Linked DNA regions of Canis lupus familiaris. The protein of the gene in region 1 interacts with the protein of each later gene in a biochemical or structural test. Links are inferred from orthologs where the notes say so. Each region holds a gene or a part of one and is shown in the gene's direction. Other genes may lie near its edges. The genes, in order: CDKN2A, TRIP12, SERTAD1, NPM1, E2F1 and CCND2.

Evidence for each region.
Region 2: the proteins of CDKN2A (region 1) and TRIP12 form a complex in vitro, tested with the Homo sapiens proteins (2 studies listed by BioGRID). The link is inferred for Canis lupus familiaris from reciprocal best matches to the Homo sapiens genes CDKN2A and TRIP12.
Region 3: the proteins of CDKN2A (region 1) and SERTAD1 form a complex in vitro, tested with the Homo sapiens proteins (2 studies listed by BioGRID). The link is inferred for Canis lupus familiaris from reciprocal best matches to the Homo sapiens genes CDKN2A and SERTAD1.
Region 4: the proteins of CDKN2A (region 1) and NPM1 form a complex in vitro, tested with the Homo sapiens proteins (3 studies listed by BioGRID). The link is inferred for Canis lupus familiaris from reciprocal best matches to the Homo sapiens genes CDKN2A and NPM1.
Region 5: the proteins of CDKN2A (region 1) and E2F1 form a complex in vitro, tested with the Homo sapiens proteins (2 studies listed by BioGRID). The link is inferred for Canis lupus familiaris from reciprocal best matches to the Homo sapiens genes CDKN2A and E2F1.
Region 6: the proteins of CDKN2A (region 1) and CCND2 form a complex in vitro, tested with the Homo sapiens proteins (2 studies listed by BioGRID). The link is inferred for Canis lupus familiaris from reciprocal best matches to the Homo sapiens genes CDKN2A and CCND2.

The regions. Positions count from the first base shown.
Region 1 is NC_049232.1:41,340,029-41,344,150, reverse strand, and holds the start of CDKN2A (cyclin-dependent kinase inhibitor 2A), read left to right. Parts: upstream 1-1,322; 5' UTR 1,323-1,334; coding exon 1,335-1,460; intron 1,461-4,122. UniProt on the Homo sapiens protein: Acts as a negative regulator of the proliferation of normal cells by interacting strongly with CDK4 and CDK6. This inhibits their ability to interact with cyclins D and to phosphorylate the retinoblastoma protein.
Region 2 is NC_049246.1:42,403,406-42,407,584, reverse strand, and holds the start of TRIP12 (E3 ubiquitin-protein ligase TRIP12), read left to right. Parts: upstream 1-1,379; 5' UTR 1,380-1,519; intron 1,520-1,836; exon of another isoform or gene 1,837-1,857; intron 1,858-2,064; exon of another isoform or gene 2,065-2,170; intron 2,171-4,179. Other genes in the region: FBXO36 (F-box only protein 36), read right to left, coding at 297-457, 776-932. UniProt on the Homo sapiens protein: E3 ubiquitin-protein ligase involved in ubiquitin fusion degradation (UFD) pathway and regulation of DNA repair.
Region 3 is NC_049222.1:114,052,873-114,057,099, forward strand, and holds the start of SERTAD1 (SERTA domain-containing protein 1), read left to right. Parts: upstream 1-1,427; 5' UTR 1,428-1,587; intron 1,588-2,039; exon of another isoform or gene 2,040-2,194; intron 2,195-3,285; coding exon 3,286-3,999; 3' UTR 4,000-4,227. UniProt on the Homo sapiens protein: Acts at E2F-responsive promoters as coregulator to integrate signals provided by PHD- and/or bromodomain-containing transcription factors. Stimulates E2F1/TFDP1 transcriptional activity.
Region 4 is NC_049225.1:41,653,174-41,656,673, reverse strand, and holds part of NPM1 (nucleophosmin), read left to right. Parts: intron 1-116; coding exon 117-174; intron 175-525; coding exon 526-609; intron 610-698; exon of another isoform or gene 699-792; intron 793-1,605; coding exon 1,606-1,707; intron 1,708-3,500. UniProt on the Homo sapiens protein: Involved in diverse cellular processes such as ribosome biogenesis, centrosome duplication, protein chaperoning, histone assembly, cell proliferation, and regulation of tumor suppressors p53/TP53 and ARF.
Region 5 is NC_049245.1:23,405,724-23,409,653, reverse strand, and holds the start of E2F1 (transcription factor E2F1), read left to right. Parts: upstream 1-1,130; 5' UTR 1,131-1,145; coding exon 1,146-1,406; intron 1,407-3,930. UniProt on the Homo sapiens protein: Transcription activator that binds DNA cooperatively with DP proteins through the E2 recognition site, 5'-TTTC[CG]CGC-3' found in the promoter region of a number of genes whose products are involved in cell cycle regulation or in DNA replication.
Region 6 is NC_049248.1:5,498,240-5,502,434, forward strand, and holds the start of CCND2 (G1/S-specific cyclin-D2), read left to right. Parts: upstream 1-1,395; 5' UTR 1,396-1,706; coding exon 1,707-1,901; intron 1,902-3,710; coding exon 3,711-3,926; intron 3,927-4,195. UniProt on the Homo sapiens protein: Regulatory component of the cyclin D2-CDK4 (DC) complex that phosphorylates and inhibits members of the retinoblastoma (RB) protein family including RB1 and regulates the cell-cycle during G(1)/S transition.

The DNA.
Region 1 (4,122 bases):
GCGGAGGACGGAAACGAGAGAAATGTCGCTTTAATCGGGTTAACTGGCTCCGAGACCGCGTGCGCCTCCGCTGGGGGGGGGGGGCGATGGGCGGCGGGGGGAGGGGGGTGATGGGAGACCGGGAAGGGGCGGGGGGGGGCGATGGGCGGCGGGGAAGGGCGGGGGGGTGGTAATGGGCGACGGGAAAGGGGCGGGGGGGCGATGGGCGGCGGGGGGAGGGGGTGATGGGCGACGGGGAAGGGCGGGGGGGGGTGGTAATGGGCGACGGGAAAGGGGCGGGGGGGGGGCGATGGACGGCGGGGGGAGGGGGTGATGGGCGACGGGGAAGGGGCGGGGGGAGGTCGATGGGCGGCGGGGGGAGGGGCGGGGCGCCATGGGCGGCGGGGGGAGGGGGCGACGGGCGACGGGGGAGGGGCGGGGGGGCGATGGGCGAGGGGGGCGCAATGGGCGGCGGGGGGAGGAGCGATGGGCGGCGGGGGGAGGGGCGGGGCGCAATGGGCGGCTGGGGGAGGGGCGACGGGGGAGGGGCGGGGGGGGCGACGGGCGACGGGGGAGGGGCGACAGGGGCGCAAGGGGCGGCGGGGGGAGGGGTGATGGGCGGTGGGGGGGGCGGGGCGCAATGGGCGGCCGGGGGAGGGGGCGACGGGCGACGGGGGAGGGGCGGGGGGCGACGGGCGACGGGGGAGGGGCGACAGGGGCGCAATGGGCGGCGGGGGGAGGGGTGATGGGCGGCGGGGGGGGGCGGGGCGCAATGGGCGGCCGGGGGAGGGGGCGACGGGCGACGGGGGAGGGGCGGGGGGCGACGGGCGACGGGGGAGGGGCGACAGGGGCGCAATGGGCGGCGGGGGGGGGGGCGGGGCGCCATGGGCGGCCGGGGGAGGGGGCGACGGGCGACGGGGGAGGGGCGGGGGGCGATGGGCAGCGGGGGGAGGGGCGGGGGGGCAGCGCCCGGCTCGGGGAGCGCAGGCGGGGCGGAGCGCGGAGCGACGCGGCGCGAGGGCAGCTGTGGGGCGGCCCGCGGCTCCCTGCCCCCGCGGCTCGGTCGTGCTCCCCTGGGGGAGCCGTGGAACCGAGACGGCAGAGGCCACGCGTGGGGCGACTCGTTTCGCAGCGAGTTGAGAGCGGAGGGCGCTCTCCTGGATTGAAAGAGTCGGGTTGGAGGAGTCGAGGGGCCGAGTCTGGGGGCCGCTTCCGCCGGCCCCGGAGGAGGGGAGAGGAGGGGAGAGGAGGGGCGGGCGGGTCACGAGAGGCTGGGGCGGGCCGCTGGCGCCCGACGGCCGCGGCGGGAAGGAGGGAGGGAGGGAGGGAGCCGGGGGCCCGCGCTCGGGAGCAGCATGGAGCCCTTCGCCGACTGGCTGGCCTCGGCGGCAGCCCGGGGCCGCGCGGACGAGGTGCGGGCGCTGCTCGCGGCGGGGGCGCCTCCCGACGCGCCGAACCGCCTGGGTCGGAGCCCGATTCAGGTGGGTGAGCGCGCGGGCGGCGGGAGGAGGCGGTGGCGGACGACTGTGCGGCACAGGGTTTGCAAGGGAGTCCTCCAGGTCTGCCGGTCGCTGGTCGGGGACGGGGAGACTCCCTGGTGAGGTCCCAGGTGGTGTCTGGAGCCCGGAGCTTCCAGTGTCCGCGTCCTGGGGGCAGAGGAAGCCGCGGGGGGGGGGGGGGGGGGGGGGGGAGGGGAGATGGGGAGGCACGTGCAGGGCAGATGTCTGGTCTGAGATCGGGAGGGGGGAGCCTGTTCGTGTTAATATAGTCCGAGGTGTGCTCTCCATCTGATACACAGTTACGAACGTAAAGCAAGATTTTAAAGAAATGGAAGATTTGTTGGGCCCACTAGGCCGGAACTCATAGACCCCTGAAGGGAGCGGATCATCTTCTGTGCTAGCGGCGATTGTACTGGAAACCTTCTGCTGTGTAAATTGAATAAATATTCATTGAAATTGTTCAGAAGCAACTGCATGTTGTGTTTATTTTTACTTTAACCGTGTATGGCACATCTGTGCTTGTGAGAATTTAGGGAATACAGACAGACATAGATGAAGAAAAACAGTGTGATCTTGCCTGAGATAATGCCGTCGATTTAGCTACCATTTTGAGGGTACCTCCTATTATTTTTGTTACTTTTGACTTGCTATAGATTAACGCAGTTGAGAGAGTTTTGGATTCCTCACGGTTCAGAAATGTGGTTTCTTCCCTCCTGACTCCGGTTGTGGGTGGGGGTGGGGGTGCTGGGTATTTGCTGTTGTTGTTTGCCTTCACTAAATTCCTAAATCCAGGCTAAAAAAAAAAAAAAAAAAAACCCAAAACCAAAAAACCCTATTTCTCCCTGTTCGTCACCACCCTAGTTTTATTCCCAGTGTTGACAATGATTTTGGATTGTGAAAAATAAAATGTATGTGAAACAAAGGCTCACTGCACAAATTCAAGCATAACAAGACAAAGGAAAGTAACTGTACCTGCAATTGCACAGATTTCACAAGTCATCTTCCTTTCCTGAAACAATGCTACATAGGATAAATTTTATATACCTTAACATACATATATAAAAATAAAAACAAAATGCCTTAAAACTTGAGATTATTTGGGATTTTAAGTGTGAAGGGATTTTGAGAGTAGAGAGGTTGTGTGATGGTAGAAGAAAACCATGAGTCCTTTAAAAAGAATGCATGCATGATTTCTCATTTCTCTAAGATTTTGCTCAGAGACTGAGTGTGGCCTTGAAGTTTGGAATATGTTTGAAGAGACTTTGTTTAAATACAAAAAGAAAAAAGTTGGATAATTAGTTTTAACAATTTTTTTAATAGGGAAAATAAGAACATAGAGAAAAGAGTGCATGGTTTTGGTTTAGAACCCTAACCAACCTTGTGTTTAATACAAAACTAATTAGTTTATAGAAAATTATAATTACTTTAAATATCTTATCAAATGGATTTAAGCACTCTACAAATATTCATTTAATCGATTCTTTTTCTTTCAGCTTTGGATTGCTATTTAGATTTAAGTATTTAAGTGTTAGGTTTCTTTCATACTTTAATACTGCAAAATATAATGAAAACCTTTAAAATCAGTTAAGTGTATGTTACCTTACATGGGAAAAGAGGCTTCGCAGATGTTCCTTGGCTTAGAGAAATAATTATTTACGTTTAATGCAGAATGTAATTAAAAATAATTCCTTTTTATACAGTCACTATAAGTCTAGCTAATATAATCAAATAGTGGTTAGCCTAAAAGAAAATTATCTACCACTGCCATCTGCCATGTAACACTCAAATTGTAAGGTTGCTGTGATTGTAGATACTATTTAAAAAATCCTCTTTGGTAATGACTTTGTTTCAAAGACGATTTATCAAACAAATGAAGGGAGCACCTCCTGTTTAATGAACTCTCAGAGTATATAAACTTGGGAAGTTTCTTAGTTTCCTATTTCTGCTGTAACAAATTACCACAACTTTTGTGTCTCAAACCAACATAAATTTATTATCTTATAGTTCTGGAGGTTGAAGTCTAAAATGGATCCACAATGCTGCATTTCTTTTGGAAGTTCTAGGGGAGAATCTGTTTCCAACTTCTAATGGCCATCAACATTCCTGTGCTCATGGTCCCTGCATCTTCTTCTCTCTGACCTCCATTCTTAGATCTTTCTTCTGTAACCTCATAAGGGAATTTGTGATTACATTGGGCCCATCCTGATAATCCATGTTAATCTCTCTCAAAATCCTTAATTTAATCACATCTGGGAAGCCTCTCTTCCCATGTAAGGTATTATATTCACAGCTTTCAAGTGTTAGGTAGTACACATCTTTGGGGACATTCTTCAGCTCATTATGGGAAGGAATTTGGGGGCTGGTTAGAGAACCCTCATTTTATACTTAGAGTGAATTTTAACATTCTGGTAGGCTAAGTGTATATTAAAAGTTTTTTAGGAATTAAAGATTTGTTGTTGTTTTCACTTTCACTTTTTAACAATTATTATGTCCTGGGCTTGGATATACAACAGAAAACCATACAAAATCTCTGGGCCTTATATAATTTTGTATCAAAATGGGTGGGGGGGCTATAGGAGGTTAGGCTATAGTTCAAGCCAGTTCGTCTCTCACTCTTTTGCTATTGTCATGCCTCTGACAGACA
Region 2 (4,179 bases), on another chromosome or scaffold:
ATAACCTAATCCCCGGGCTTATTGTTGTGGAGCAGATGTCATTATGGGTGGGGCCGACGCGCAGAGCAGCTCCCACACTTCGGTACCACCCCCCGCGCACTTTCAATGGGATAGAAGGGGCTCCCAAAAGGTAAGCGGAAAGCTCTCCACGACCCGTTCCTGCTGGCAGTAAGGAAGCTGGGATGTGGTCGCGGTCCCGGCCAAGACCACGAGATTTAAAAAAAAAAAAAAAAAAAAAAAAAAAAAAAAAAAAAAAAATCATCCCCCCCCACCCTTCCCCCACGGTTAACTCCTACCCTGGAAGAGAGATCGTCCCTCTCTCTCTCCCCTCCCCTGCCGGCTCCTCCTCGGGACACTTGGCTGAGTCTTTCTTTCTCTGCTTCCCACGCGGAGGTGAGGCTGCACCGCTGCACGCAAGCCGGGGACGCCTGCTCTTCCTCTTCGCGCGGAGGGAACTCTGCGGGTAGGAGCCCCGGGTGGCAGGGAGGGAGCCGGCGGCGACGTGGGCAGGCAGAGGAGCTCGCCGGGGACGCGCCGGGCCGGGGCTGCCTACAGACACGCGGGCCCCCGAGGAGCCGGCCGACGAGGCCGAGGTGACGAGGGAAATCTCCGCGCTCCGGGCTCCGGGCTCCGGGCTCCGCGCTCCGGGCCCCGGGCCCCGGGCTGGGACCGCACGCTTCCGGCGGGCCACCGTCGCTCTCGGCCTAGCGCGGCCCGCGTCCCGCGCTCGGCCGGGGCGGCGGGGACTTAGGGTTAAACCGCGCCTCGCACTTGCCTGGGACCGGGTGACCAGTAACTGGTAATAGTCTTTGCTCGGCGCTGGGCCTTGTCCTACAATTTCGAACAGCGTCTCCGGCAGCCACGACGCCATCTTGGGACGCCACCGGCGTCGCTAAGACAACCAGGAAGGGGCGGGGCTTCGCTGGGGTCATGGGGCCAAAGCCCTAGTTTAAATCGAACCCCGCTTTTGAGCTAGCGGAGGGGGGCGGTTTGACTTGGGGTGATCGCCCCGACCTCCGAGAGGCCCAGGGAACTCTCGTCTGTGAAATTTCAAGCCTCAGGTCCCCGGTGACCCGAAAGGGAATTAGTTCCTGCTACCATGGAGGGGAGGGGGTGACCCCGGCGGAGGGATACCAAGCACGGCCCCACATTCCCCTTCCTGGTCCCTCGAAGGGATCGGGAGGAGATCTCGGGCCGCTGGGAGAGTCGCTCCGGGCGGTGGGGGAGGGAGGGGCGATGTGATGGGCCGCGAGTAGGCAGCGGGGCCTTTCCCGCGGACGAGCCCGGCAGCCCGAGCCGGCGGGCAAAGTAGTTCCCGGAGGGTGTTGGAACGGGCGGGGAGGGAGGCGGCGCGGGCGGAGGCGCACGCCGGCCGCGGTGCTGCGGCTCAGCTGATAATTGAAGGGACCCGAGGAGCCGCCGCCGCCGCCGCCGCCGCCGCCGGGGGGGGGGGGGGGGAGCGAGTGGAAGTTGCTGCCGCGCCACCGAGTCCGGACCGGAGACTTTGGGGCCCAACTAGGTAATTGGGGCGCAGTTCCGAGCGGCCGGGCCAGGCTTGGGGGAGGGGGTTGTGCCGAGGGGTTGGGAGGGGGCAGCGGGGGGGGGGGGGGGTGGGGAGGAGCTGGGAGAGAAAGTCCCAGGAAGCCCGGTTGTGTCATCGCGGCGATTCGGCCCCGGCTCGGCCTGCTCCCGGCGGCGGCGGCGGCGGCGGTGGCGGGGCCGCGGAAGGACCGGGCCGGGGGTTGACGGGCGAGGCGCTCGAGGGAGGCTGGGGCCGGGCGGGCGCAAGGCGGGGGGGCTTCTCTGGGTTCCCCCCTCCGGCCCCCGGCGATGAGGAGGGCCCTTCGCGGAACCGGGGTAAGGCGTGCGGGTGTTGGGGAGCCCGGTGGGGGCCGGCGGGGGGGGCGGAAGTGGGCTTTGGGGCTCGGAGGGCGTCTAGGAAGCGAGAAAGTGGGGGGCCGGAAGTGCAGGTGGGGGGTGTGAAGACGGCGAGGGTTCCCCGGAAATGGGATGGGGGGCCCGGAAGCCGGGAGAGGGGAGGCTCCGGGGCCCGGGGGGGCGGGGGGACGACGGACGGCCCGGAAATGGAAACTAGGGAGCAGCTCGAGTGACAACAGTTGTGGGAAGCGAGGGTCAGAGGAGGGAGAGGCCGGAGTGACTTTAGACCGCAGTAAGGGGTTTCCTGCGGGGGTGGGGGGGCGCGGGGGGGCGGGCGAGGCCGGAGACGGGGTCCGCGCCGGGCCGTGTGGGTAGAGCCGTGGGAAGTTGAGGCTGAGCGGGGATGACGGGGGGGCGGGCGTGCAGGAGGGTCTGGCGAAGAGGCCGGGAAACTTGGCGGAGAAGCGCAGAGGAGCGGGGACGTCGGGGGGTGGGGGGTCCGGGCCCCGCGAGGGAGGCGCCCCGATTGTCACTCCAATCGTCTCCGCATTCAGAGCGAGTCAGGCGATTAATTTATTTATATGTGGATTACATAAAACCCATTATACCGTTTGTCCCTCCGGCTCCCCCTCCCCTCCCCTCCGCTCCCCTCCCCTCCATCCTCCCCCCTCCCCCCCCCCCCCCCCCCCCGGGAGAGAGTGGGTTTTCTAGTTCAGAAGCAAGTTGGAGGGGAGTTCAGATAACGAAGGTCGGGAAATTCCCAAATCCTGCCCTTCGTGGCGCTTCTAGATTTCCATTCCTACAGGGGGAGAGATTAATAAAGATTTAAGAAAAAAAAAAAAAAAAAGAACACACACACACAAATGAAACGAGCCCCATGCAAAGCGGGAGGAAGTCACCTATTTGAAGTGCCGGTGTTGGGGGGGGGCGGGACGGACGGCGGGGAATTGGCTCCCCTGGTGAGGTCGGGAGAGCGCGGAAGGGGCTGCTGCTAAACCCTTAAGACAGGTTGGTTGGATTTTGATAAGGCTTCGTTTTCAGCATCGTGCCCGGCGAGGGTGTGTGTGTGTGTGGGGGGGGGGGGGGAGTTTTAATTGCTTCGTGAGTTCATTGAAGGAGGGACCGTGTCAGCGGGCGCGGGGCGCGGGGCGCGGGGGTCGGCGCCCTGGGGCGGGGGGTGCGTCCCGGGTGGGCGTCGCCGCGCTCGGGGCCCGCCGTCCTCGGATCTCGCCCGGGCTGCCGAATCACCCGATCCCCGGGCTTCCCTCCGTTCTGTAGGCCCCGGAGTGCTGTGTTCAACTTGATTCCTTCCTCTCTCCAGTCTCTCTCTCTCTCTCTCTCTCTCTCTCTCTCTCTCTGTGGATATGTTCTTGGCATTTCGGGTTTTTTTTTTTTTTTTTTTTTTTTCTTTAACGAGCACAGAAAGTTGAGGCTTGAGGATTCTCCTCCTTCAACACAACACAACACAAAACAAAAATAATAGGGGTAGAAAGTTGAAAGAGCTATTGAGTTGGGGCAAAAAAAAAAAAAAAAAAAAAAACACCCGACGCTCGGAACAAAGGTCCTGGTTGTTGGGGAAAAAGGCAAGAGGCCTATATAGGAGGCCTGTGTGTGTGTGTGTGTGTGTGTGTGTCGCGGTTACTCGGGGTGGGGGGAGTGGGGGGCAGTTCAGATTGAGGAATGAAAGGGCATTATCAGAGGTTTGGAGACCATCAGTTGCAGATGGGTTTATTGAGGTTCATCTTCATATTTACATTATGCAAAGAGATCAATACTGAAGGTAAATTTTGCAGCAAACAGAATTTCTTTTGAAACGACCCTGCTGCTTCCCTGTTCAGGCCCAGAAAGATTGAATTAGTGTGGTTTTTGTTTGTTTGTTTTTAACATCTTTATGTGATTGCTTGGGGAGTTTTTATTTCATTTATTTTACGCCGAAGAGGGCATTATTAACATGGAGTTTGTGGGCTTTGTCCACATCTGCCTTTCTACCAATGTGCCAATGTGCCAATATCCGTAAGGATTTAAGAATTGCCATGTAATTGACACCAGAATGTTCTTAACATTTATCATTGTTCCTATTCAATTCCCAGTTTTTAAGGAGTTTGAGTGATTTTGTAAGTCCGCTGAGCTGACGGTTACTGTTTAGTTTGTGCCAGTGAACAGGCTTTTTGTTTTAGTTTTTCATTTACTTTCTGAAAGTTTTGGAATACTTTGGCAGTTAAGAGTTCCAGAAGCTGCGAAACTAATTATTTAAAAAATGAAGGGGTTGCTAAGCCAGTGTAAAATCAGTGTTTTTACGTA
Region 3 (4,227 bases), on another chromosome or scaffold:
ACCTGAATCAACTAGTTTAGTTAGCATTTTCTAGAGCTTACTTTGGCCAGGAACTCTATTCACAACAGTTCTTCCCACAATTCAAAAAGAGTTAGCAAATGAGCTACTTGGAGAAGTTAAGTCCCCTTGTCAGTTTACCAGACAAGCGTTAACTTCCTGTCTACCCATACCCGACCCCAGGTGTCCTGCCTTGAATTAAGCACCTGTGCTATAACCACAACAGCTATTACTACCAACAAAAGGACATGTTGTGCACCATTCTGAGCACTTTGTGGGATTATTTTTTTCTTTTTTTATTTATTTGAGAGAGAGCATGAGCAAGGGGGAGGGGTAGAGGGAGATGGAGAAGCAGACTCCCTGCTGAGTAGGGAGCCAGATGTGGGACTTGATCCCAGAACCCTAGGATCATGACCTGAGCCACCCACACGCCCCTCTTTTTTTCTTTTAGATCTTATTTTTATGAAATGTCTACACCTGGGACGCCTGGGTGGGTCAGCGGTTGAGCATCTATCTGCCTTTGCCTCAGGTCATGATCCTGGGATCTAGAATTGAATCTTGTTTGGGCTCCCACCAGGGAGCCTGCCTCTCCCTCTGCCTGTGTCTCTCATGAGTAAATAAATAAAATCTTAAAAAAAAAAAAAAAAAAAAGAATCTCTGCCCCCAGCGCGGGGGCCTTGAACTCATAACTTAGAGGTCAAGAGTCACATGCTCTCGACTGAGCCTGCCTCGGGCCCCTGTGTGATTATTCTTTTTAATCCTCAAAATACTCTCATTTTAAAAAGGTGAGGAAACTGAGACCTTTGGGATTAAAATTACTTGCCCAAGGTCACACAGCTACTTAGGGAATGGAGCCCAGGATGTGACTCCAGTGGCTCTATTCCTATCCCCACCGGCTCCCCCTCCCCCTCCTGTAACCACTATTGAGTCCAACTGCTCAGCATTTGCTTAGTGCGCTATGGTGCTCTTAAAGACACAACCTTATTTTAATTTTCCCGACTCTCAAGAGGTAGGCAAGAAGCTGTCCATTTAACAGACTTTGTGTGTGGCTCAGAGAGGTCCAAGGATTTTTTTTTCCCTAGATCGCACGTTGAGTAAGTGGTCAGAATTTGAACCCATGCTTATCTGGCTTAGAGTGCAGACCTCTGTTAGGACTGGGTCTGTAAGTTGCTCAATTGCTGGGTTTGGCAAATGTACGGGCAGGTGTGAGGGGCTCACACCTTGAGAAGGAAGAAACCCCTCCCAGCCACTGCCCCGCAGTGAACACAGCCACCCCACCTGGCCTCGGCTCCTTACACAGTCGCCAGGCATGCGCCCTGAAGCCACCCTCCCCTCCCTTCGAACCTTCCTTCTCCAGGCCCCGCCCATCACCGCCCAAGGCCAATCGCGGGCCGAGGGCGGGGCCACCGCGGGAGTGGGCGGTAGTTAAGGGGAGTCAGGAGCCTGGAGTCGTGCGCCGGAGTCAGAACTGCGTCTACCGACCCAGGCGCCGGCTGCTGAAGGAGAGCGAGCGAGCGATGCTGCCGTCGCCGCTCCCTGATTGGCTGCGCGTGGATCCCTCTTCGTTCTGATTGGCAGCGGGTGAGCTAGGTATGTAAATGAAGTGAAGGGGGCCGAGGCGAGAAGGGAAACCCGCGAGGGGGTCGTTTGGCAGGTTCGATCCCCGGGTCCGGCCGGTGCGCGCCGGGGCTGCCCGGGATCGAGATGCGCGGGCCCCCGAGTGTCGCCCGGCCGGGCTGGGTGAATCACGCCGCAGCCCGGGAAGGGGGCGGAGGCGCCGGCTCTCTGGCTCCGGCTGCGTGACTCACCCGCCCCCGCCGCCGCCGCCGCTTCGGGAGGAGCCGCCTCCACTGCCTGCCGGAAGCGAGCACAGGCCGAGAGAGCAGAACAGCCCTCGGGGTTCCCGGCCCGCACGGCCCTGCGCTGCGGGCAGGAACGACAGCCAGGACGTGGGGCCGTATCGAGGATCCCGGGGTCCGAGGGGCCGGAATCCCCGGGGAAAGCCGTTCTGGCGCCGCTAGGGGGCGCCGGGACGGGGGGGCGGAGTCCGGGGAGGGGGGCGCCTGAATTCCTGCGGTTCTGGACTCCCGGGTCTTCGGGGAAGGAGGCGAGGACCGTTTTGAGAAGTGTGAGGAGTCGCTTTTAAGGTCCTGTTGGGCAAGGGGATTGGAGCCTTCAAGCTTCCAGGCTCAAGAAAGTAAGTTGGGCCTGGCGTCCAGAACGCCAGGGGCCCCTATCTCGGGGAGAGTGTGGGTCCTCAAAGTTCTCTTGGTGACCCCCCGGTGCCGGTCAGGATTTCCCAGCGAGCCATGTCTACTCTGCCTCCCAAAGAAATCCGGAAGCAACCAACTTCTTTCCATGTCCACTGCCCTCCACCTTCCACTTCAGGCCCCCACCATCACCCGCCCCAGAGCGCGGTGGCCTCTGAATGGAGCTCAGGACCGCGCTCTTCCCCGTTTCCCTTCCTTTCACCCTCATCTAACTCGAAGCAGCCGAGGGGGGATCTTCTGGAAATCTAATCAGTTCACAACACCACCCGTGTTCCCTGCTCAAAATCCTTCAATGACACTCACAGTAAAATCCAAACTCCTTGCCTCTGCTTGCTCTCCAAACCCGGTCCCCTTCCGTGTCACTCTGCGCTGACCACACTGGTGTTTTATTTTGTTTTGTTTTGTTTTGTTTTTTTTCAGTTCATGCTCATCCAGCCTCCAGGTCTTTCTTTGCCCTTGTTGTTCTCTCTTCCCGGAATGCTTTCCCCTGGTCCTTCTGTGGGTGGCTCCTCCTGCTTGAGGAAGGGTCAGCTAAAATGTCACCTCGGAGGAGCCTTCCGTGACCACTCCCCAGAACCTTTGAATATCTTCCTAGCACACCTCTACATTTCCTGTATTTATTTATTTATTTGTCTGATGGGTAGTAGACAGTAAGTGTCGGATGGAACTATGTAAAACAGCTGCTTTCATGAGTTAAAAAGATTGAATTTTGGGCATTTCACATGGTTCACTGAAGAAATACATAATAATAGCTATTAAGAGTATTTGTTAATAAGAATCGTTACAATGTACTAGGCACTGTTGTAAGTGCTTTTTTGTACGTTACCACATTTACTCTATATAACAGCTCCATGAGGTAGATACTATGATCACTCATATCTTCAGGTTTCCCTAAGAAAGCACAGGTTCAAGAAATTAAATGGCCTGCTCAAGATCACACCAGACATAAGTTATCAGAGACAGGGTTTTTAACTTAACATTGACTTTCCATAACTGAATGACTCCTCCCTCCCTGCAGATGATGCTGAGCAAAGGTCTGAAGCGCAAGCGGGAGGAGGAGCGGGAGAAGGAAGCCCTGGCAGTGGACTCCTGGTGGCTGGATCCCAGCCTCCCAGCAGTGGCACAGGCCCCCCCGGCCGTGGCCTCCAGTTCCCTCTTGGACCTTTCTGTGCTCAAGCTCCACCACAGCCTGCGGCAGAGTGAGCCGGACCTGCGGCACCTGGTACTGGTAGTGAACACGCTGCGGCGCATCCAGGCATCCATGGCACCTGAACCTACCCTGCCACCTGTGCCCAGCCCGCCTGCGGCCCCTTGTGTGGCTGACAATCTGCTGGCCAGCTCAGACGCTGCCCTCTCAGCCTCCATGGCCAGCCTTCTGGAGGACCTCAGCCATATCGAGGGCCTGAGCCAGGCCCCCCAGCCCTTGGTGGACGAGGGGCCACCGGGCCGCCCCACTGGAGGATCCCCACCCAACCTGGGTGCCTTGGACCTGCTGGGCCCAGCCACTGGCTGTCTGCTGGACGATGAGCTTGAGGGTCTGTTTGAGGACATCGACACCTCTATGTATGACAGTGAACTTTGGGCACCAGCCTCCGAGGGCCTCAAACCTGGCCCTGAGGATGGGCCTGGCAAGGAGGAGGCTCTGGAACTGGATGAGGCTGAGCTGGACTACCTCCTGGACGTGTTGGTGGGCACACAGGCACTGGAGCGGCCACCGGGTCCAGGGCGCTGATCCCCACAACTGGGATGGTGGTCTGGTGTCCAAACTGAGCCTGGTGGCTGGACCAACTCTCCTTGGAAAGACACAGCTGGCTTCCTTAGAGCAGAGAGAGGGCCTTTGGAGAGACAGAATCCAGTCCTGAGCAACTTCACCTCTGTCCTCTTGTCTAGGACTAATGAGGGGAGTCTGGGATTGGCCCTTGGGATGGGATCACAGGGCCTGGTGGCTGGAATGTGATTT
Region 4 (3,500 bases), on another chromosome or scaffold:
GGGTGGGGGGATAGGTGATGGGCACTTGATGGGATGAGCCCTGAGTGTTCTATGTTGGCAAATCGAATTTAAATTAAAAATTTTTTAAAAATAATAAGGACTCATTTCATTTGTAGTGATGATGATGATGATTTTGATGATGAGGAAGCTGAAGAAAAGGCTCCAGTAAAGAAAGTAAGTACAACACAGTGGTACAAGGCTGACAGAAATAGCTAGTAACAGAAATGGAAATTTTTTACTGCTTTGTTTTGTAGTTAACAAAAGCTGGTTTGGGAGGAGTTGTTGATCTTGTACTTAAATTAGTCCTGAATAGGATTTTCATCTTAAAAATTTTCCTAATAGTGATCTATTTTCTTTATCCTTGTGGTCTTCTCCCACTTTCATAGCCCTTAATACCTTTTGTCAGAATGATTGTTTTGTCTTACCCTGATTGCTTTTGTTTAAGTGGTTTGGGGCTGTTTTACTTGGACTCATATGTCTGTTATGTGTAGGAGAGCATTGATTAAGATTAATTTCTAATTGCAGTCTATACGAGATACTCCAGCCAAAAATGCACAAAAATCAAACCAGAATGGAAAAGACTCAAAACCATCAACACCAAGAACAAAAGTAAGTGGCATACACATAAACCACAACCTTCACTGAAGTAGTTAGAAGTTTTAATTGATATCTTAAAGTGCTAAAGTGTGCTTGTTGGTGTGCTCGCTTCGGCGGCATATATACTGAAATTGAAACAATACAGAGAAGATTAGCATGGTGCCTGTGCAAATTCATGAAGCATTCCATATTCTTGAAGGACAGTCATTATACAGTTTCGCTCATATGAGTAATATAAAAAATAATGAAAGGGATTATAGGGGAAAGGAGAGAAAGTAAGTGGGAAATATCACAGTGACAAAACAGGAAACTCCTAACTTTGGGGAACAACCAAGGGGTAGTGGAAGGGGAAGTGGGTGGGGGGATGGTGACTGGGTGACAGGCACTGAGGGGGGGCACTTGAGGGGATACGCACTGGGTATTATACTATATGTTGGTAAGTCAAACTCCAATAGAAAATACATATATAAAACATTGTGTTTGTTGGTGGAGGATCCATCCCCTAGTGGAGGATGCCAACAAAAATTTTTTTATTGCACTATAAACAGTTGTGTCCTGTAAGGAGTTTTTTAAAGTATTTTATGGCATAGAGTTTTCTCAACTCTGGCTGTGTACTAGAATCTAGCAACTTAAAAGAGCCATAGTACCCCAGCTTGGAGATTATTAGAAGCTATGGGATGGGCCTAAGGCATATCAAGGTACATTTACTTGCTTCATTCTTGGGGCCTTCTGGTTTCAATTTTGATGGTGTACAAGTGTAGAACTGATCTGATATGATGTTGAATATAAAAAGCAAGCTCAAACTATTCTTGTTTTTATTCAGGAATGATATATTAAGAATAAGAAACAATTGTTGAGATGTTTATTTAAAACAACTCAACTCTATATTTTTTACAAGGAAGGATTGTAAATAAGAATGATTTTTCTTGAGAAAATCCAGGTAGGTAGGATGGGTCGTAAGAGACACCCCTTTATGTCCTTTTGAACCTTAATCTTTTTTTTTTTCAGGGTCAAGAATCTTTCAAAAAACAGGAAAAGACTCCCAAAACACCGAAAGGACCTAGTTCTGTAGAAGACATTAAAGCAAAAATGCAAGCAAGTATAGAAAAAGTGAGTATAAAAGGATCTTAAAACCTAGATGGGTTTTTTTATTCCTTTTTTTTTTTTTTTTTTTTTTAAGATTTTATTTATTCTTGAGAGAGAGGCAGTCACAGGCAGAAGGAAGAACAGGCTCCATGCAGGAAGCCAGCCCCGTGTGGGACTGTATCCTGGGACCCTAGGATCACACCCTGAGCTGAAGCAAACACTCAACCACTGAGCCACCCAGGCGTCCTGTCCCTCCTCTTTTAGAGTAATACCATTGTGATGGCTTTGGAACTAGATTGTTCCTTACTTTTTTAATCTTGAAATCTTGCCCCTTTTGTGCTATGCTTTTTCTTTTTTCAGAAACATGTTTTTTGTATTCATTTCTCACCTTGACATTTTTGTGTGTGTGTGTGTGTACTTGAAGTTACATATATATATATGTACTTTTTTATATATATATAAAAGACCAGTAAGTTGGTTTTAAGCTTAATTCTGACCTTAGATGTTAAAAGGAGTTCAATGAGTTTTTTTTTTAGTTGTAATATGCTATAGAACCAGCAGAGGGCGTTTGAGTCTTCTATAAATTTACAGGCTGTGGGAAAAGTGGAAACTGCTTGGTTGCTGATGGGTTAGTACAATAATTATTCATGACTGATTTTAGTCAAACATTTTCCAACAAATTTGAATCTTTATATGCTCTATTTTCTTTTTTTTTTAATTTAAGATTTATTTATTTATGAGAGAGAGAGAGAGAGAGAGAGGCAGAGAGGCAGACACAGGAGGAGGGAGAAGCAGGCTCCATGCCGGGAGCCTGACGTGGGACTTGATCCTGGGACTCCAGGATTGCGCCCTGGGCCAAAGGCAGGCGCTAAACTGCTGAGCCACCCAGGGATCCCTTTATTTGCTCTTTATACCAAGAAATTACCAGTTATATATGGTAATATCTTGAATCTCTGAACGCTTATATTTAGTTACCATTTTGTCTTAAATAATGGAAATGTGAGAAGAAATTAGCTCTCTACCTGCTACTTACTTGATTGAGAAACTAAACTTACTAAACCTAGTAAACTCGGACTTCAGAGTAAAGGTGGGATGGTGAGGAAAAGTTGCTGACTCTCTGTTTCCCCATGTTTTTCCTTTGCTTTATAAGTTTACTTGGTTTCAGTAAATTTTTTTGTGCAGTGATGAGTCAGTTGGGAAACCTTTAGAACCAAAATGTGTTTGTTGGTTTTTGCTTTAGTACTACTGCATACCTTTCTAGCTTCTGGTATCACTGTTTTATTTTTATCCCTTTCATACAATGCTGAAATGACATTTTTTAGATCCCCCCCCCCCATTTTAATATGGTCCTATCTCCTTGGTTTAATTACAGGCGAATTGAACAGTCCTGGGCACTACTGGTAAAATAAACCCAAAGCTGGGGAGAGAGGAAAAGGAGAGACAAATATAGTCCATACTGACTGTCATCAACAATCCAGACTGAAGTCTCAAATCCCTTTCCTGTTTTGCCACCCACCCACACCCCCTTCCAGGCTGGAAGCAATCTCATTCTTGATCTCCTAAAGCACTTTTCTTTTGACTGCTGTGATTCAGTGACCCCTTACACTTTGCTTTCTATGATTTGCGCATTTGCTTTACCTCTTTGGCCATGTTTTAATCGCCTTTGTGTCTCCCTAGCTGCTCAATAAATACTTGAATGAATCAAATAAGAATGTATGTGACAATAATTTAAAAATGGGATTTACAGTGAGGTTTATTTTCTAGGTTACAGAGGCAATTTAAGGATCTTAACCATACTTCTGATCTTAACCTATTTT
Region 5 (3,930 bases), on another chromosome or scaffold:
CTCACGTCTCTGCCCTCAAAGCTGGCACAAGGCCTGGCACAGAGGAGAGGACAATATTGGTCAAATCAGCTGACCTGAGCAATGAGAAATGGCTGATGGAGAGGTCCCAGGGCCTCCGGATTAACTGCATTTTCATGCTCAGCACCCTTACCTCCTCCCTTTGTGAACTCTAACGTGGAGTTAATGGTGGAAATTCCTCCTCATATTCCAAGCATTCGTTACTTCTATTCCTCTCCTTCTCTTTTCACAAGACCGAGCTCTTCAAGGTCTGAACTAAGAATGGGGCACAGAGCAGGCTCTCAAAAACGTTTGTTGAATAAATGGGTGAATAAATGAGTTCAAGCAGAAGCTGTGCATCGGCTATTGAAGAGATTCCAGCTAAAAGGGGGCTTACAGGAAAGCCCCAAGCTGTATTGGGCCAGATGTCCCTCCTCATTTTCTAACAGCCCGCTTCTGCTGGGGCTCCGGGTGAGAGGGACAGGGCAGGTGCAGGATTTGAAAGTAAATGGTATAGATGGGGCAAGTTGAGGATGGGAGCGGCAGCTGGGGCTTTGGAGACAGGCCTGACCATAGAAAAAAGGAAGGGCAGTTTCTAAGTGATTCAGACTAAGGTTGTTGGGGCTACAGGTGGCGGAGTCTAGGGGGTCACGGGAGGTCCGAATACGGTGTGAAGCGCAGAACGGACACTGACCCAAAGGGCTCCACATGCCGGGACCCGGAGTCCGCGGGGCGTCGGGGTGCGAGCCGCGCCACCACGCCCGGGGTAGGGACAGTCCCGGCTGGGGGCGGGGAGTGCGAGAGCTCCTGGCACCGCCCCGACAAAGCCTGCGCGCGCCCGGCCCCGCGATTGGCCGCGCCTCCTCGCGCCGACGCCCCGTCCCGCCCACCGCCGCCGGTCCGGCACGCTGCAGCCAATGGACCCCGTCGCCGTCGCCTACGTCACGGGCCCGACAGCCAATGGTCAGAGCGCTCGGCGGCTCGTGGCTCTTTCGCGGCAAAAAGGATTTGGCGCGTAAAAGTGGCCGGGACTTTGCAGGCAGCGGCGGCCGGGGGCGGAGCGGGATCGAGCCCTCGCCGCGGCCTGCCGCCATGGGCCCGCGCCGCCGCCGCCGCCTGCCACCCGGGCCGCGCGGGCCGTGAGCGCCATGGCCGTGGCCGGGGCCCCCGCAGGCGGCCCATGCGCGCCGGCGCTGGAGGCCCTGCTCGGGGCCGGCGCGCTGCGGCTGCTCGACTCCTCGCAGATCGTCATCATCTCCACGGCGCAGGACGCCAGCGCCCCGCCGGCCCCCGCCGGCCCGGCCGCGCCGGCCGCTGGCCCCCGCGACCCCGACCTGCTGCTCTTCGCCACGCCGCAGGCGCCCCGGCCCACACCCAGCGCGCCGCGCCCTGCGCTCGGCCGCCCGCCGGTACGGACACCAGGGACACAGGGCCGAGTGCACGTCTGGACCCCCGTGCAGACCCGGTCGGGGCGCGGTTTTTGGCCCGGAGGCAACGGGGGCGGGGGGAGGGGGTGGGCCGAGGCTCCCGGGCTGGGCGGGGTCGAGCCTGGGTTGGGCCTCCGGGCCCCGCCCCGGGATGCGGGGTGACCTCGGGCCAGTCGCTGTTTGCTCCTCTGCTCTGGGCCTCGGCTTTCCCCGAGCCGCTCGAGGGTCAGACTCAGTGGTAATAATAGCCCACGTGTATTCAGCTGGTGTTGCCTGCATGCCAGGTCTCTGGCGAACTTCGAGCCAGAACTCACAACCATGCTGTGAGCTCAGTGTTGTCACTGTGCCCATCTGAACGGAGGCCCGGAGAGGGGAAGTGACTTGCCCCCGGTCATACGGCTGCAAGTGGTGGGGCTGGGATTTGAACTGAGGCCTGCTGGCTCCAGACCAGAACTCGTGGCAGGGTAGTGGACAGGGCCCCTTGAGGAGGTCGAGGGGGCTATCCTGGGGCCAGACTGCTGAAAGAGTCATTGAGGAGACCCTCCTTCCTGCCTAGATGCTCCACTGCCAGGTGCAGGCCTGGGCCTCTGGGCCTCTGGGGACAGGCCTCCTGGCTGGGAGGCCTTCTCTGCAGGGGCGGGGTGGCTGGGCCAGCTGCTGATCCCCTCCCTCTGCCTGTCCTTCCATCTGCCACCCTCCACCCTCACAGGCCCTGGTTGCCATGGAGCCTCATTAATCAGGCAGGCAGACCCCTAGGCCCCCAGGGAAGTAATGGGTGGGCTGGGCCTCTGGGAGCTGGAGTGGAGGCCCCCAGTGCCAGGAGAGAGTAAATATTCCAGGGAGATGCCTTGATAAAGTGCTCCCTGAGCAGCAAGAGGCTCAGGAGCAATTTGGACTGGGGGCCCCAGAAAAGATTGCTTAATTACTGGAGAGCAGGGCCTAGAGGCCTGGAGCTTGGACCTGTGAGCTGCAGGACTGGGCGTGGAGACCAGCTTGACTGTCAGGGCCTGTGGGTGAAGGTGGGGCATGGAAGGCTGCTGGCAGGGGGCAGGGGCCAGGCCAGCCAGGCAGGAGGGGGTCTCAGCAGGGGGCCTGGAGCAAGTAGGAGGGGTGAAGCAGAGCCCGGGCAAGGAGGTGGAAGCTATCCAACTGCTTATGGGGGCCTGGGTGGCAGCTGGTCCCTGAGGCATCCCGGCAAGTCTCCCCTAACTCCCTTGGCCCCTCGCCCAGCCTAGCTCTGCCTTCCTTCCGGAATCACCAAGACGCTAATAATAATAACAATAGGAGCCACCATTGTTTTGAGACTGTTTTATATGTCAGGCTGTGTGCCAAGCACTTCACCCAGTTAACTCTCTCAACAACCATCCCCTTTTACAGATAGGGAAGCTGAGACCTAGAGATGATAGGTCATTCAGCTAGTGGAATGGTGGGACCAGTCCAGACTTCCTGAGCTGTTAACTAGTTAGCCACTGGGATGCCTTGCCTCCTAGAAATGTTAATAATACAGGTTGAAGGAAGTTAGGAACCCTTCTGATGGGTAAAGGGAGGAGGATTGTACTAAGGGTGGGTCACCTCTATCCCAGGGGCCTTTTTTCTCTGCAGGTGCCAGCCTGGGGCTTGGACCTGAAAACTGCATTTAGCTGACTGACAAGTACTTAGCCGACCTGGGGCTGTAGAAGCTGAGCTCCAGGCCCAGAGGGCTGCCAGAGACTGGGCTGAGGAAATGTACCCACCCCACCCCCAGCAGTGTCAGGGGCAGCCTTGTGGGCCTGAGCATTCCATCCATTCTACTGTTGAGTTAGTGAACTGCCCAAAAGGTACTAGACAATGGGCAAAGAAGGAGCCTCTGCCCTCACAGCTTTGAAGCACTAGTATCCATTTTCTGCCGGTGGGTGGGGGTGAGGGCTGGCACCACCCCAGAGCTGAAGTCCAGAAACACCCCCTCCAAGACTCTCCACTCTTGTACCTCTGGTCAGCCACTGGCCGATTGAGCTGTGGCCTCCTCTGACCCTCTGCACTGACATTTGTGTGAGGCAGTCTTTGAAACAAGCTACGGGTTCAGCTTCTGCATCAGTGAGCATTCATTGAGCACCTCTAGCATGCAAGACTCTACAACTCAGCCATTCCTCCTGGCACTTCCTGTCCACCTCTATCCTGTTGTCATAGCTGTTAAAAAGCAAATTAAAACATTTACTATAGAAAAAGTTAAGAGGCTAAAAAGTTGAAGGATGCCAACACCATTCATTTTTCCTCCTGTTTTCTTTTCCTAAGCCTGTTTTTTTTTAAAAAAGATGGTTGTGACAGCTTTTTTTTCCCCTTAAATTTTAAAAATTGTAGTTTTTCCTTTGTTTCTATGTTCAAACAGTAGATCATCCCCATTTTATAGATATAGTAACAGTCCCCCCATGGTTGTCCTCCACCCACATACCATACAGAGGTTACCCCTAGAATGGATTCTAGAATATTAGACACTGAACCAGAGAAAAATGTTTCATGTTTTTAATCC
Region 6 (4,195 bases), on another chromosome or scaffold:
CCCGGCCTCCGCGAAGGAGGCGCTCGGTTGACCACGGTGTGTCCCGAGCCCTGACCCACGCCATGCTCCCTGCACGTGCCAGCTCCGCCAACTTGCCGGGGGCGCTGGGCTCTCTCCCCTTCCCCCCCAAGTGAAATTACACTGAAACCCGGGGGAGGGGGGCGGGGGGGGAGGAAGAAGGTGAGGAAACGCCACCATATCCCCTGTAAAAGCAGCCTTGACCCGGGGATGCGTTAGAGCACATGTCGGAGCCGACTGCGCTGGCAGCGTCCCCACCGCAACCCGGCTCCCGGGGAGAAAGCCCTGGCTGGCGGGTGAGGCATGAACCCGGAGGGGTCGGCGAGGATGCCAGCGGAGGACACAGGATGGAAGTCTCGGGCCTCCGAGGAAAGGAAGGGGTGGTGTTGTTTGCGCAGGGGGAGAGAGGGGGAGCCAAACCTAATCCCTCCCTCGCCCCCCTCTCCTCCCCTCCCCCTCCCGGGCTATTTCCTAGAAAGCTGTATCAGTGTGGCCACGCTCGGCGCAGACACCTCGGGCGGCTTGTCAGCAGATGCAGGGGCGAGGAAGCGGGTTTTTCCTGCGTGGCCGCGGGCCGCGGAAGAACCGATGGTAGCCCTGCCCCCCCCCCCCCAGCCTGCGGCAGCCCAGACCTCTTCTCTCCTGCTCCCCGTGGCGCCTGTAGCGCCCCCAAGAAGGGGAGGGTTTCTGCTTCAGGGTCACATTCTATCACGTCGGAGAAGCCGCCCCCTCCCTCCTAACACCCACCCCTTCCTCTCCTTCCTCTTCGCACACACAGGCGGGGTGGGGTGGGGGGGCGTTGTTCTGGCCCCTTTAATCGGGCTTTTGAAACAGCCCGAAGTGATCCAGGAGCTCAAACGTCCGGGACAGAATCTTTATCTCTGGATATCCGAGGTTGCTATTTTCTAAAATCGCCCTCCTTATTCTTCACTTAAGGGATCTGCTTATAAATTGCAGGAGCCCACCCCATCTTCAAGTGATCCACTCGTCATTCTCGGATCTTACATGCATGGGCAGGAATGGAAAGGTCAATTTTGAGAAAGCCAAAGTTGGAGGGTCGTACTTGGCACGATACGCCCACAGAATGTGCGAAATTAGAGGGAATAAGTAGGAATCGGTGGGGTTTTTTTGTGGGTTCCCCTATTCGGGGCCCCTGGCATGCAGGGCTGGATAGAGGGAAAGGGCCTCGGAGAGCTAAGGAGAGGGGTGGGGGGGCGGGGGACCGCGTTTGAAGTTAGGTCGGGCCAGCTGCTGTTCTCCTAAATAACAAGAGGGGAAAGGGAGGGAGGGACGGAGAGATTGAAAGGAGGAGGGGAGGGACGAGAGGGGAGGGAAGGGGAGGAGGAACCGGAGAGGGGAGCGAGGCGAGAGGGAGGAGAACTAACTGCCCAGCCAGTTTGCGTCACTGCCTCGCAGAGCAGAGAAGAGCGAGCAGGGGAGAGCGAGACAAGTTTGAAGGGGAGGGCAGGCAGAGTTAGCAGCCCCCGAGGCTCTCCTCTCCCAGCGCCCTTCCCTCTCCTCTCTTCTCCCCAGCCTCTGTCTCTCTCTGCCCCATAACTTTTCTCTCGAAAACCCCCTATTTAGCCAAAGGAAGGAGGTAAGGGGAACCCTCTCCCCTCCCCCCTTCAAAACCCCCCAACTTTTCCAGTCCGGAGAAAGCAGGGGAGCGAGCGGGTACCCGACTGGCCATGGAGCTGCTGTGCTGCGAGGTGGACCCGGTCCGCAGGGCCGTGCCGGACGCCAACCTGCTCTACGACGACCGCGTTTTGCAGAACTTGCTCACCATCGAGGAGCGCTACCTTCCCCAGTGCTCCTACTTCAAATGCGTGCAGAAGGACATCCAGCCCTACATGCGCAGGATGGTGGCCACCTGGATGCTGGAGGTAGGTCTGCAGACGGACTCCGTCTGTCCCCATCCGGATAGACGCCCACGCTCCCCACCCCCGCCCCCAGCGCAGGGACCCTAAAACTGGGAGATGGCAGGATCCGCGCTCGCCTCCGCACTCCCGCGCGCGAGGTTACCCCTCGCCCTTTGGCGAGACGCGTGGCTTCATTTCTGTTCCCTGCAGGATGCTAGAAGAACTGGGGGAGGGGAGGGGGGGAGGAGGAAAATCTGGGAGAAACGAGACTGTCCTGGGGCGGGGGTGGGGGAGCATCCCGCGCGCGTGTGCCTGCATGTGGCTGCCTCTTCTTCCCACCCCCATCCTGATCTGTCTTTTGCGAAGCTGCGGCTGCTTTCGGTGCAGTGAAGCTGGGAGTGGGAGCGTGGAATCGGGGCCCCAAAGTAAAAAAGAGCAGCCCCCCAAAGGCCAGAGCAAAATCGTCCTAGCCTCAGGTCCCCGCATGTGGTTGCGACTCCGCGTTGGCACTTGGGGGGGGGGGGGGGGAGGAGGGGGGGAGGAGAGAGGAGGAGAGAAACGGAGAATTCAGGAGCCCCGGAAGTCGCAATGAAGAAACGTGTGTTTTAGGGGAACCCAAAAGAACCACTTCTTTACCCTTGCTCCAAATCTTTGCCGAGCGAGCCGTGTGCCCACGTATGCACGGCTCTGGACCTGCCGTGGTTTCGCCATGTTGCTTTGCAAACTCCGGCTGGAAAGGCTGGAAAGCGTTGCCCGCTCGCCCCCCGCACCCCGTTAGCCCGGCCCCCCCACTTGCAATAGTACCCTCTCCCCCAGCCCCCACCTCACGAAGGTTACTTACAGTTTGGCTTTCCAGTTTTCTCGGTGCGGAGATTTGGGTGGGGTAGGAAGGGGGGAGGAGGTGTGTGTAGGGGGGATGTCGGGGCGCCCCCAACGGAGAGGTCAGAGCCCCGGGTGCTCTCCGGCGGCGCCCCGCTCCTCGCCTTTCCCCCGGCTCCTCACCACGGTCCCCGGTTTCTGCCCTTGCGGGCCGCAGCCGGACGGACACTCCCGCCGCGGCGCTCACCCCTCCAACTTTCCCCTCGGGATCCAAAGCCCCAGGGGTTGAGATACAGACCTTTCCGGCACCCGAAATCTCCGTTTCGGGAAGCCTGGTTCCTCTGTGGGGTTTTCACGCCAAAAGGGCTTTTCTAGGATATTTCCTCGATTTTTAATTATTTTTTGAAACCGTCTCCCCAGGCTCCGAGTCCGCCGCCGAGGCTGCGGCTCTTCCTCTTCTCCTCCCTCCCCCTCTCTTCCCCACCTCTCCCCACCCACCCCCCCAATAGCGGCGCCTGGGCCGCAAGGACGCCCCCGGACATTTTTTTCAATTGTCGGGAATGATAGAGCAGGGTCCGGGGCTCCGAATGAGACCAAGAAGAAGACCCCCGGAGCCTCCAGAATATTTTTATTGATTTTTTGAAAAGATGACGAAATCCAAAAAAGAGAGTGTGAGTGAGTTAGAGGGAGCAAAGAAGTCAGTAGCCAAAGGGAGCGTCGCCGAGCCTGGCGGCTACTGCGCATTTGTTTGCCTCCTCGGTTCGGATCTTCAGTTCAACTCTCTCTTACGTTCCTGGGGAGTACCCCAGCACCGACCATTTAGATTTACCCCGTTTTCCTCATCTTTATTCTTATCACATAGTCTACTCCCCTCCCCCTCCCCGCTGAAAAATTAAATATTTTTGCTTCTTTCCATAGGTTATGCCTTTTCATTTCTTTTTTTGTGTATGTGTGTTTTCCTGATATTCTTCCCTCCAACCACCCCCACCCAACCCATTCCCGCTCCCATCTTAGGTCTGTGAGGAACAGAAGTGCGAAGAGGAGGTCTTCCCTTTGGCCATGAATTACCTGGATCGCTTCTTGGCCGGGGTCCCAACTCCTAAGACCCATCTGCAGCTCCTGGGTGCTGTCTGCATGTTCCTGGCCTCCAAACTTAAAGAGACTATCCCTCTGACCGCAGAGAAGTTGTGCATTTACACTGACAACTCCATCAAGCCTCAGGAGCTGCTGGTAATGACAATCTCCTTTCTATTCCTCCTTCCTTCTTTGCTCTCTCCAGGCCTGGCGAGCTTCTACCTCCTGCTCCCCAAACAAATCCTTTGGATCCCAAATTACCACACTGCTGGAATTTTCACACTTCCCGGAAATAACGCTTTAAATACAAATTTTTTTTGTGTGTGTTCCTACTGTGTGCCAGGCACTATACTAAGCACTGAGGCTACATCCAGGAATAAGATACCCAGATACCCCAAGACATTTGTTGTGTCGGTGAAATTCAA